3 linked regions of the Sus scrofa genome follow. The protein of the gene in region 1 interacts with the protein of each later gene in a pairwise test. Links are inferred from orthologs where the notes say so. Each region holds a gene or a part of one and is shown on either strand. Other genes may lie near its edges.

The links. The genes of interacting proteins can lie anywhere in the genome.
Region 2: the proteins of CAMK2B (region 1) and RAP2B interact in binary tests that used the Homo sapiens proteins (3 or more experiments, as listed by UniProt). The two-hybrid records come from large-scale screens. The link is inferred for Sus scrofa from reciprocal best matches to the Homo sapiens genes CAMK2B and RAP2B.
Region 3: the proteins of CAMK2B (region 1) and CCM2L interact in binary tests that used the Homo sapiens proteins (3 or more experiments, as listed by UniProt). The two-hybrid records come from large-scale screens. The link is inferred for Sus scrofa from reciprocal best matches to the Homo sapiens genes CAMK2B and CCM2L.

What each region holds. Positions count from the first base shown.
Region 1 is NC_010460.4:50,860,811-50,865,024, forward strand, and holds the start of CAMK2B (calcium/calmodulin-dependent protein kinase type II subunit beta), read left to right. Parts: upstream 1-1,414; 5' UTR 1,415-1,644; coding exon 1,645-1,709; intron 1,710-4,214. UniProt on the Homo sapiens protein: Calcium/calmodulin-dependent protein kinase that functions autonomously after Ca(2+)/calmodulin-binding and autophosphorylation, and is involved in dendritic spine and synapse formation, neuronal plasticity and regulation of sarcoplasmic reticulum Ca(2+) transport in skeletal muscle.
Region 2 is NC_010455.5:93,306,629-93,309,163, forward strand, and holds RAP2B (ras-related protein Rap-2a precursor), read left to right. Parts: upstream 1-1,483; coding exon 1,484-2,035; downstream 2,036-2,535. UniProt on the Homo sapiens protein: Small GTP-binding protein which cycles between a GDP-bound inactive and a GTP-bound active form. Involved in EGFR and CHRM3 signaling pathways through stimulation of PLCE1.
Region 3 is NC_010459.5:35,669,788-35,673,869, reverse strand, and holds the start of CCM2L (cerebral cavernous malformations 2 protein-like), read right to left. Parts: upstream 2,801-4,082; 5' UTR 2,736-2,800; coding exon 2,706-2,735; intron 222-2,705; coding exon 54-221; intron 1-53.

The DNA of each region.
Region 1 (4,214 bases):
GGTTCCTTGGCCTCCAGCCGTCTGTTGGGTGCGAGTTCCGTCTGACCAGGGCTGGAGCTGGTCTCCACTTGGTCTGCTCATCTGCCTGACGGCTGTGTGCCCCAGGCAACCTGGTCGGGGAGGCCCTGGCATCTGCCTCTCCCTCTAGACCTTTCATTCTAGCTTTTATCCAGGAAGCGTGTATTGTGGCTTCTAGGGCCAGTCCTGGGCTGGCCACCGAGGTGAGAGAGATGAGCAGGACAGGCCCCGACCCTGCCCCTGGGGACCCGTGGTGCGGTAAGTGGCTCCGGTCAGGGCAACCGAATGGCCCACACCCAGGGCTGGCGGCTGGAAACTGCCTGTCCTCAGGGCCTGCCCAGGGTGACTCTGGCCCTTTCCTCTCCGAGGAGGAGGCGGGGGGAGCTGGAGTCCAGCGGGTTGTCCTCGCTGGCTTTGAAGCCCTGGTTCTAGGTGGCAGCTGAGCTGTAGCCCTGAGGGAGGCTCCACTGTGGGAAACGGGTCAGCCCAGCCTCCGCTGCTCCCCGCCCCGCTCCCTCCTCCTCCTCTTCTCCAGGCCAGAGGGGAGCAGGCTGGTGGACTGGGCCTGGGAGAGGGAGAATGTGCCCCTTCCTGGGCAGGGGGCTGTGAGCTCTCAGGACCCTTGAGTGCTGTTCTCTTGATTCCAGGACCCTCTGCCTAAACTCCACAGTCTGTTCCTGAGGCCTCCATTCCAGACCCCTGCGTCCAGTGCTAGGACAGGGAGGGAGGGGCCAGGACCATGAGGGAGGGGGCAGCCTCCACCCTTTCGACTTCCACTCCCAGGGTCCTTGTGTGCAGCCTGGCCTGGGAGCTGCTGCCCGGGGAAACCGGACCGAGCTGTGTGAGTGGTGGAGAGCCGGGCCGGAGGATCTGCTCCTGGGGGGGTCGGGCTGAGGGCTGAGTCCTGTGGAGGGAGGGCTCTCCCCTCCCCCTTGTGCACTTGGGTCTTCTCTCTTGAGGTCCAGGGCGAGGTCGGCCTTCAGGGGAGCAGGGGGCCGGGTTCATTATATGCAGTCCCGTGTGTGTGAGTGTGTGTGTGTGTGTGTGTGTGTGTGTGTGTGTACGCGGGTGCAGGAGAGTCACCAGGAGGCAGCGGAGAATCTGGCTCCGGGAGCCAGCGGTTCCCCGAGTGCGTGGCCCCAGGCGCATGGGCGCGGGTGCGGGTGGCAGCGCAGCGTGTGCAGGGCGAGGGTTGCAGGGCGCGGGTGCGAATGCTGGGAGCGGGAGTGGGTGCGAGGGCGCGGATGCGGGTGTGGGTGCAGGTGCAAGGCTCAGGTGCGGTTGCGAGTGCAGGGAGCCGATGCGGGTGCAGGGCGCGGATGCGGGCGCGGGTGCAGGGCGCGTGCAGGGGGCGGCGGGCGGGGCGGGCGCGGCGGCGGCGGCGGCGGCGGTGACAGCGGCGCCCGCGCTCCCCGCGCGTAGGTGTGCGGCGCGCTCCTGGCGGGGACGGAGCGCGCAGATCTCGCGTGCGCTCGCCGCCCGGCGCAGCCCAGCCCGGCCCCCGCTCGGCGCCGCGAGCCGAGGTGTCGCCCGCGCCCGCGCCCGTGTCGCCGCCGTGCCCGCGAGCGGGAGCCGGAGTCGCCGCCGCCCGAGCGCAGCAGAGCGCACGCCGAGCCCGTCGCCGCCATGGCCACCACGGTGACTTGCACCCGCTTCACCGACGAGTACCAGCTCTACGAGGATATTGGCAAGTAAGAGCCGCGGCGCGTGCGGGCCGGGCCCGGGGCCCCGGAGGGCGCCGCGGGCTGAGGGCCGGGACCCTGGAGACCCAGACCCTCCGCGCCGCCGGCCCCGGGCGCACTGCGGCCCCGCGCGCCCCCGGCTCCTCCTCGCTCGGGGCCCGGAGCGCACGTCCTCGCGCGGCCCCGACCCCCGGGACCCGGGGCCCAGCCACGGGACCTCGGCGCGCGCGGCCCTGCCGGGCCCTGTCCAGCGCGGTCGCCTGGTCGGAGGCCTGGGCTCCGGCCGCCGGGCGCGGGGCGGCGGGGGCGGCAGCAGGTGTCCCCGGAGCGCCCGGCAGACGTGACGCATTTGGCGGCGGGAGGTCAAAGAGGAGCGGCGTGCGGGGGCGGCCGCGGGGCCTAGAGCGCGGGGGAGGGGGCGGCCCTGGCCCGGAGGGTCGTCCCCGCGCGGGCTGTGCGGTCCCCACCCCCACCGAGCGGCCGGGCGCGGGGGCGGCGGGACCTGCTCTGCGCCTGCTTCTCCGCGTGGCTCCATCCGCGAGGGGGGTGCCCGCTGCACTCCGTGCCTCTTGGGAACAGCCTCTGCTGTGGGTCCCCGGAGGAATCGGGGTTCTGGAGGATTTTCCCCCAGATCCTTCTGGAAAGAGGAGTCTGGAGAGCTGGGGCCGAGGTCAGGGAGCTTGGACCAGGTCACTGGGGCGGAGATGAGGGGGTGAAGCGGCACTTGATGGGCTTCTGATTTCAGGGTCCTCGAGGCAGGAGGGGGTTGGATTCTGGAGAGTTTTTTTGGGGGGGCAGGGGGGAGGTACTTCGAAGGCTCGTTTCGGGTAGGGCCTCACCGGGGAACAGGTGGCTCCTGGGCTCTGCTAACCAGCATGAGCGATGCCAGGCCCTGGACCTGACTCTGCCGCCGGGGTCTGCCTCAAAGCCGGTCATGGGCTCCTCTCTGGTCTGGGGTCTCCCCTGTGCGAATCAGGGTGGCTGCCCTGGCCTCCCTAGGTCTGGCTGCAGAACTCCTTGCTCAATCCCCGGGCTCCAGCCTGGCGGCAGCCAGAGACCCATCCTCCTCCACCCTCCTCCGTCCCTCCCGCGTGGTGGGGGCCCTGGCGAGGTTTCCTCTTACACATCCAGAGGCAGCTACCCCCTCTTTATTAAAAAAAAAAAAAAGTCTGTGGTGATACCTTGTGTTGGCGAGGGATGCTGATCATTGATAATTGTGGGTGTGAGCTGGGAGGAGTGTGTGGGTGTGCGAATTCCCCAATTCTCCCTGCACTGGAGGAGGGGGGATGCCAGGCAGGCTTGGGGGGGCTGAGGAGTGAGTTGGAGTGGAGAAAGCCCATGGTGGGGGGCCCTGGGGACACAGGAATTCCCTTCCCTCAGGTGGGGGCTGATTGGGTGCCTGGCCCCAAGGCAGGGGGCCTTGGAGAGCAGAGCAAGGGGGGCAGCCAGCACACAGGCTGTGTGCACCCCTGAGGCCCGGAGGACACAGGCCTGGAGGAAGCTTCCAGGGCCTGCCTGGATCAGGCCTGTGAGGATGGGGTGATGCACTGGCAGTCCTCAGATGGCGGCAGGTGGTTCTCTGAGGCAGAGGGTGGCAGTGGGAGAAAGGCCACCCCATTCTAGGGGACTTTCTTGTTGCTCCTCTACTTCGTCCCAGGCCCTCCTGCCAGGCGCCTCCAGGTCTCTTTGCAGAAGCGCCTCTTGTCATTTCACCCCGTTTCCTCAACCTGAAGCTTGCACCGCTGACCCTGCCTTGACCTTTCTGTGAACCCGCCTGGACCAGAGGCCCCCCCAGCGTGGTCCCCCTACCGCCGCAGGCCTCCGGTTCCAGCAGCAGTGACTGGTTATCCTGGCTGCTGCCATCCGCACCCACACTGGGCAGAGAGGTCCCTGCGGCTGCCCTGGGGGAGGCCCACAGGGGTGGCAGATGCTGCAGTGGAGGCCAGGCTCCTCTCCCATCAGCACAGACACGAGCAGTTTCAGGAAGCGAGCTGCAGGCCTCGGGCGTGAGTGGGGGCAGAAGTCTAGCCATCGAGGGGGACCAGGGAGAGGAGGGGAGCGTGTCCCTGTGAGTGGCCCAGCCCTGCGGAGCCCACAGGGCTTCAGCTCGGCCCAGCACCCCTCAGTGGAGCCCCCCAGGTGCCAGGCCCAGTGAGGGGCACTCAGGGGCCTGTCCTAGCCCCTCTGGGGGTCCTGGGTGGGGAGCAGGCAGGGCCAGGCAGGGTGCGCTGCAGTGGAGCAGGTGTCAGGATGGAGAGTCCGGCCCTCCGGCCCCCCACCGCCTCCATCCAGGGCTGGGGTCCACAGTGGCCATGTTGGCGATTGTTGACAGCGCCTGGCCTGTCCCAGCGCAGTTGGTGTTGCTTCCCGGCCCAGGTGGATGCGTCCAAGTTTATTTAAAGCTGCAGCCCCTGGCACCAGTCAGGCGACACCAAGCTCCCTGCCCGGCCTGGGCCGGGCCACAGGCCCACAGCTGCTTGTGTGAGTGACGTGGCCGCTGGCTTCTGCCCTCCC
Region 2 (2,535 bases), on another chromosome or scaffold:
TGCCTCCGCCTCTCAACTCAATCTCTATAAATAACCAATCACGAGCGGAGTCTACTTTTTAGCCAATGAAGCAGCCCAAACTGATAAGATCTTGGCAGTAGCCAATGGGAGAGCATTTGAGGGTGTGAGATTTGCGCCCCGGGACCAATGGGTCCAGAGTCTGGGAGAGGTAATTTGAGCTAGAGTGTGGGTGTGTGGTGCACAAGCTTCCTACTTCCAAGCCCCCAAACCTGCTCTGTGCACTGAGCATGCCCTGACTAGCTGCGGGCGCCACCGCCGCTTTGGATAGGACTGTAATCCGCTCTCCAGATTTTGGCCCCAGCTGACTGGGGCGGGGGAGGGGGCGAGTGGGGGGGCGGGGTGGCCCGCGGAACCCTAGCCCGAAGACAGCTCTGGTTAGTAGAGGCAGCCCTTTCCCTAGTCGCAACAGGGTTTCAGACCCAGCATTCCCGTTTTCTTTGTCCCAGAGATGAAAGTGCGGGAGAGTAGGCCAGAGAAGGTCGGGTAGAAAGAGCTGCGCCTTGGGTAGGGGAAGATGGTCTTCCCGCCAAACACCCAAACGTCCTTTGGGTCTCAATCCCGGGAGACACACCCTCCGGGGGTCTGGGAAGTGGGATCTACGGGCTCTGAATGATGCGAGGCAAGAGCCCAATCCTCCCTATTCCCAGGGAGGAGTGAGGGGGTGGCTGCCGCACCCACTCGCTTCTCGAAGAGCCTGAGCCCCTATGTATGAACCCAGAGCGGCGAAAGAAGGCTGCCTCCAACCTCCCACTGGAGCTCTCCCAGCCCGCCACAAACACCTACACATCCCGGCACATTTGTCCTCTTGCTGGGAGACCAGAGCCTCCGGCGAATCCGCTAGTCCCGACTCAAATCGCGAGCCCCACCCACAACCCCGCCTCCGCCCGGCTCCCTGGAAAACCAGGAGCAGCGGATCCGGCGGGAGCGGCCGGCGGCGGCGCACTGGGCATGCTCGTCCGGGCGGGGAGGGCCGGGCTGCGCGCGGCGAGTAGGAAGCCCTCGCCCCGCGGAGGCTGAGGAAGAGAGCTCCATGGGCCGCGGCGGTGGGCGCACGCTCTGCGGGGACTCATGCCACGCGCGTCCCGGCCCGACGCGCAATTAGCTGCCGCCTCCGCAGCCCGCTACCTCCGCCGCCTCCTCGCCCTTCTGGGCTGCCGCGACGAGAAGCTGCAGCCTTCGCTTTGCACAGGCTGCCGGCATTGTCCTCCGGTTCCGCCGCCCAGGCTGCCGCTGCCGCTGCCGCCGCGGGCTGCTGCGGGGCCCCGGACCTGCGCCCCAGGGACGCGCTGCCGCTGCCGGCCGGCCCGGCGCCCGGCCCCCGCTCGGTGATTTCCGCGCTCTGCGCTCCTCGGCCATTTCGCTCCTGAGTTTTTCCTGCGGAGCTGAGGAAGGGTAGAAGTCCAGCCGCCAAGCCCAGCCTTACTACGGCGCGCAGCCCCGACGGGCGAGCGCCGACGGAGCCATGAGAGAGTACAAAGTGGTGGTGCTAGGCTCGGGCGGCGTGGGCAAGTCCGCGCTCACCGTGCAGTTCGTGACCGGCTCCTTCATCGAGAAGTACGACCCCACCATCGAGGACTTCTACCGCAAGGAGATCGAGGTGGACTCGTCGCCGTCCGTGCTGGAGATCCTGGACACGGCCGGCACGGAGCAGTTCGCGTCCATGCGGGACCTGTACATCAAGAACGGCCAGGGTTTCATCCTCGTCTACAGCCTCGTTAACCAGCAGAGCTTCCAGGACATCAAGCCTATGCGGGACCAGATCATCCGCGTAAAGCGGTACGAGAGAGTGCCCATGATCCTGGTGGGCAACAAGGTGGACTTGGAGGGCGAGCGCGAGGTCTCTTACGGCGAGGGCAAGGCCCTGGCCGAGGAGTGGAGCTGCCCCTTCATGGAGACATCGGCCAAAAACAAAGCCTCGGTGGACGAGCTGTTTGCCGAGATCGTGCGGCAGATGAACTACGCGGCGCAGCCCAACGGAGACGAGGGCTGCTGCTCGGCCTGCGTGATCCTCTGAGGCGCCCGCGGCTGCCGCGCGCCGGCCGAGCTCTGCGCACAAAAGCCAAACGCACCCGACTCTAAATGTGATTTCTCTTCTTGCTTTGAGATTGGAGACGACTTTGCATCGGCCGGGGTGTCCCGGGAGCCCGGCTGGCCCCCGTGGCCATGTCCCCTGCCTCTGCCCCGTGTCCGAGGGGGTGTGCCGTTCTGACCATCCGAGACCCGATGGAAATGTGGCTCTTTGCGGCATGTACGTTTCTCATTGATTTTGGTTGACGCGTTATTTCCCCATTGACGCAGCCGTTGGGGCGCTGTATTGGCAGCTTGACACCGGCAAGCGAAAGTTTCAGCCTGGAGAAAAAAAAAAAAAAAAAAATGGGGTGGGGGAGGAAGAGGACGGGGAGAAGGTTGGAAAGGGGGAGTTTTTTGTTTTTGTTTTTCTGTCCAAAACCGTTTTTCTCGTTCCAAGTTTTAAATACTCGGAAGGAAGTCCGGGAGAACCAAATGAAGGAGCAG
Region 3 (4,082 bases), on another chromosome or scaffold:
TCAACCCCTCACCCCAGAGATGCTTCCCATCTCTCCTCCTCATCTGCACCTACCTTGACCTCTTTCTCCAGATAGTCACACAGCAGAATCTGGGGGTCGATGAGGTAGTCGGGGGGATAAAGGGGCATTGAGTGCAAGGGCCGGCGGCTCACGCTGCTCCGACAGGCTGCCCGGCGCCCAGCCTTGGGGAACACCAGCCTCCGGATGGGGGACACGAAGCCCTAGGGGAGGCAAGGGTTGGGGGGAAGAACAGTAATGATGGCAGCTGACTTTATCCAGCACTTATCTGCGCAGCCTTTTACTTAGGTTACCTGATTTAATTCTTGCGAGACCCCTGCAGATGGGGTATGTCTGTGATTCCCATTTTATAGATGGAGAAACTAAGCCTCACACAGGGAAGTAGCTCATAACGTCACCAGCTACTAGCAGTAGAACCAATAGTTCACCCTGGGCAGTCTGGCTCTAATCCTTCCATTCTAAACACCCAGGTGAGGAGTTCCTGTCGTGGCACAGGGGGTTAAGAACCTGGCATAGTCTCCATGTGGATGTGGGTTCAACTCCTGACCTCTCTCAGTGGCTTAAGGATCTGGGGTTGTTGCAGGCTGTGGCGTAGGTCACAGATGCAGCTCAGATCCAGTGTTGCTATGGCTGTGACATAGGCCTCAGCTGCAGCTCCTAGTCAACCCCTAGCCTGGCAGTTTCCATATGCCACAGGGGCAGCCCTAAAACAAACAAACACACCCAGGTGAGGGTAGAAGGCCTGCCCAGGCCCAGGCTTGGGTTTAAGGAACTGGCACAGGCTGGGGCAAGTACAGAAACATATTAACATTCAATGTGGCTGAGTGGCAGGTGCATAGGTATTTGTGAAGCTCTTTTCTGTGTCTCCCTAAATATTAGATGGTTAATAAGTACATTTAAGTGTAACCCAGCGGGCACCTGCATAAAAGTGGCCTGCAGCAAGGTTAAAGGAGCAAATTCCAGGGCCCCAGCCCAGCCGAACAGAATTTAAATTTCTGCAAAGTGTCATCGCTGCTCTAGAGCAATGGTTCTCAGCCTGTGGTTCCTGGGCCTCCACCAGCAGCACAGCATCGCCTGAGAACTTAAAAGAAAGGCACATTCTCATGCTCCATCCCAGACCTATTGGATCAGAACCTGGGGTGAGACCCAGGGATCTGTGTTTTAAACATGCCCAGTTCAAGTTTTAAAATCAGTATTGTGGAGCTGGCTAAAGTACATGGAAGCTCTGAAAAACGATGTGGGAACGGGCTTCAAAGCAGAGGGTATAGCAAGTGTGCAAAACCCTGGGGGCTGCAAGGGCCTAATGAGCAGGAGCCTAGAGAAGTTGTGTTGTAATCCACCATGGCTGAGTGATGAGATGAATAAGTCATCAGGGGCTTGAATGCCAGCTAAGGAGCTGGGACTTTATCTCGTGTGTGGGAGTGTGTGTGTGTGTGTGTGTGTGTGTGTGTGTGTGTGTGTATGTGTGGAGTGGAGGAGGTGGCCCTGAATAGTCCAGCCCTGCCGGCCTTTCCAGCTCATCTCACCCCATACCACCCCTCACTCTTGCCTTCCAGCCATAGGGCTGTTTTTCCGTTCATCCTACTGGCTACATTCCTTCCTATCATGGGGCCTTGCACATGCTGTTCCTCTGCCTGAAACACTCTTCCCTATCCCCTTTCCTCTCACCCATCAGATCTCAGCTCAAACTCACCAGTCTAGAGCTGGGCTCTTAATATTCTCCAGCACTCTGCATGGAACCTTTTATGCAATTTTACACTAATTGCTCTAAAAAAATTAATAGTTGTCTCCCCCATTAGACTGTGAGCTCCAGGGAGGGAGCAGGGACCTTGTCTGCCTTTGCTCACCAGTGCATCACCAACACCAGGCACATCATAGATACTGAATAAATAATATCTATAGAATGAATGAACTAAGAGGGAACAAGCACCCATGATGTGGCTCCCTTCGGAGCCCTCACAATTCATGCAGGAGCCTTTTAAACAGCCCGACCCAGGTTCCCAGGGAGGACGGCTCGGTGGGGGTAGGGGTTGGGCTCCCCAGAGTCTCCCTGGACCCTAAAGACAAACAAGTGAAAGGCCCGGAGAACCAGACTAGACAATTTCTGAGAGTCAGGAAGGGGTAAAGATCTAGGGGGTGGGGGGATGATCCCCAGGCTGAGGCCTTTGGGGAAGAGAGCTGGTCCCTGAATAAAGATGGGGAAGGGGCAGCCTCGTTGGAACCCAGGGTGAGGGTGGGGGGTGGGGCAGGTAGGTGTCCCGAGCCTGGATGGGCAGCCTCAGCACAGACTTGCGCTGCTGAGGTCCTCTGTCTGGGGAGGGAGGCAGGGAGCAGGGGAATGGGTTTGCTCGGTGTCTGCCCCTCGGTCTGAGAAGCTGCAAGAGGGAATCCCCAGGAACACCAGGGAAGCAGGTTGGGAGTATGTCCCAAACTAATCTGGCTGCCTGGGTTTCCCTGCCTGTCCATCTGTCCCTTCCCAGGATGGCAGAGGCCACTGAGAGCAGGGTGACGGGTCAGGGAGCCCAAATGTCTGGCTGTCCAAGGGTGGGGAGGAAGACTTTCCAAAGAAGAAGAAAAGTCTTCCTGACACCACTTGCTGACCCCCCACCCCCACCCCCCAAGGCTTCTCCCTCGTCCACCTCCGGGGACATTTCTCTGCCCTGTATCCCTTCCCACCTCCCACCTACCTTTTTCCCTTTCTTGACTTCATATTCCATGGTGAAGTGTCCCCTGCAATCCGGCCACCCTCCTGGCCACCCCCTCCACCTTCTCCCCCCACACAGTTCCTTTGTTCTTTTTCCTGCCTGGTCGGAAACTCCACCAGCCTCGGAGTTCCTGCCCCTCCCGTCTGATAGTGAGCGGTGGGGAGGTGGGGTGGGGGTGGGGGACGCAGCCTTGGGACCCTCCAGCCAAACAGTGGAAGCCCAGCCAGAGCAACTGATCTGTGGAGGAAGCCCCAGGGCTCCGGCCAGCAGACTCGCTATTCAGGGGGCTTGGGAGCTGAGCCAGGCTGGAAAGAGTCCCCTGAATTTGGAGTCAGAAAATCCCAAATTCCACCACTACTGCTGCCACTGACCTTGCTGTGTGACCTTGGCAAGGCAGGTTAGTTCCCTGTTTCACAGCCTCAGTTTCCCCCTCCCTTTATGAGGGGGGGTGAACATTGCCTTCCTCTCTGGGCTGCTGTGGTAAGAAAGAGTGGGTGGGAAAATGCTTCCTAAGCTACGGAATATTGATTTTGAAATATTCAAGCAAGTCATGATTTTTCAAATTAATCATTGCTAGTGACGGATGTGGTACGCATGGACTTCAGAGACAAGCTGCCTGAGTTGGAATCCTGGCTTTGCCACTTACTAGGGTTATGCTATTGGGCCTGACACCTTTTATGCCTCCATTTCCCCATCTATACAATGGGCATAAGGGCATTCCCCTTGTGTCTCAGAACCTGACTAGTTATCCACGAGGATGTGGGCTTAATCCCTGGCCTCGCTCAGTGGGTTAAGGATCCAGCGTTGCTGCAAGCTGTGATGCTGTGGCATAAGTCACAGATGTGGCTCAGATCCTGTGTTGTGGCTGTGGTGTAGGCTGGCAGCTGCAGCTCCAATTCAACTCCTAGGCTGGAATTTCCATATGCTGCAAATGTGGCCCTAAAACAAAGCAAAACAAAACAAAACAAAACAAGAAAAGAAAAAGAAAATTGGCATAGTACCAGTCTGATCGCAGAGTGACCTTGTAAGAATTAAATGTACTTAGAAAAGTTCCTGGCACATGTGAAGTATTCAATAAATATTAACTACCTACCTGTGCGTCTTTGCGTCCTGGGCTCTTTTACTATCTCCTGGGAGAATAATATTAGACAGTCAGTGCTCTTTCTGTGGTTCTGAGCTGAGCACTTCATGTATTTCATCTTGCTTATTTTTCCCAATATTGGGGTACCATTTAAAATCTGTATACCTGTTATACAGATTTTAAAAACAAGTTCAGCTGCAGAGTCTGACCCAAGGAAGGCTTACAGTGAATGAGAGAAGGACTTGGGACTTCTTTTACTTTTTTTTTGGCTGTGCTCG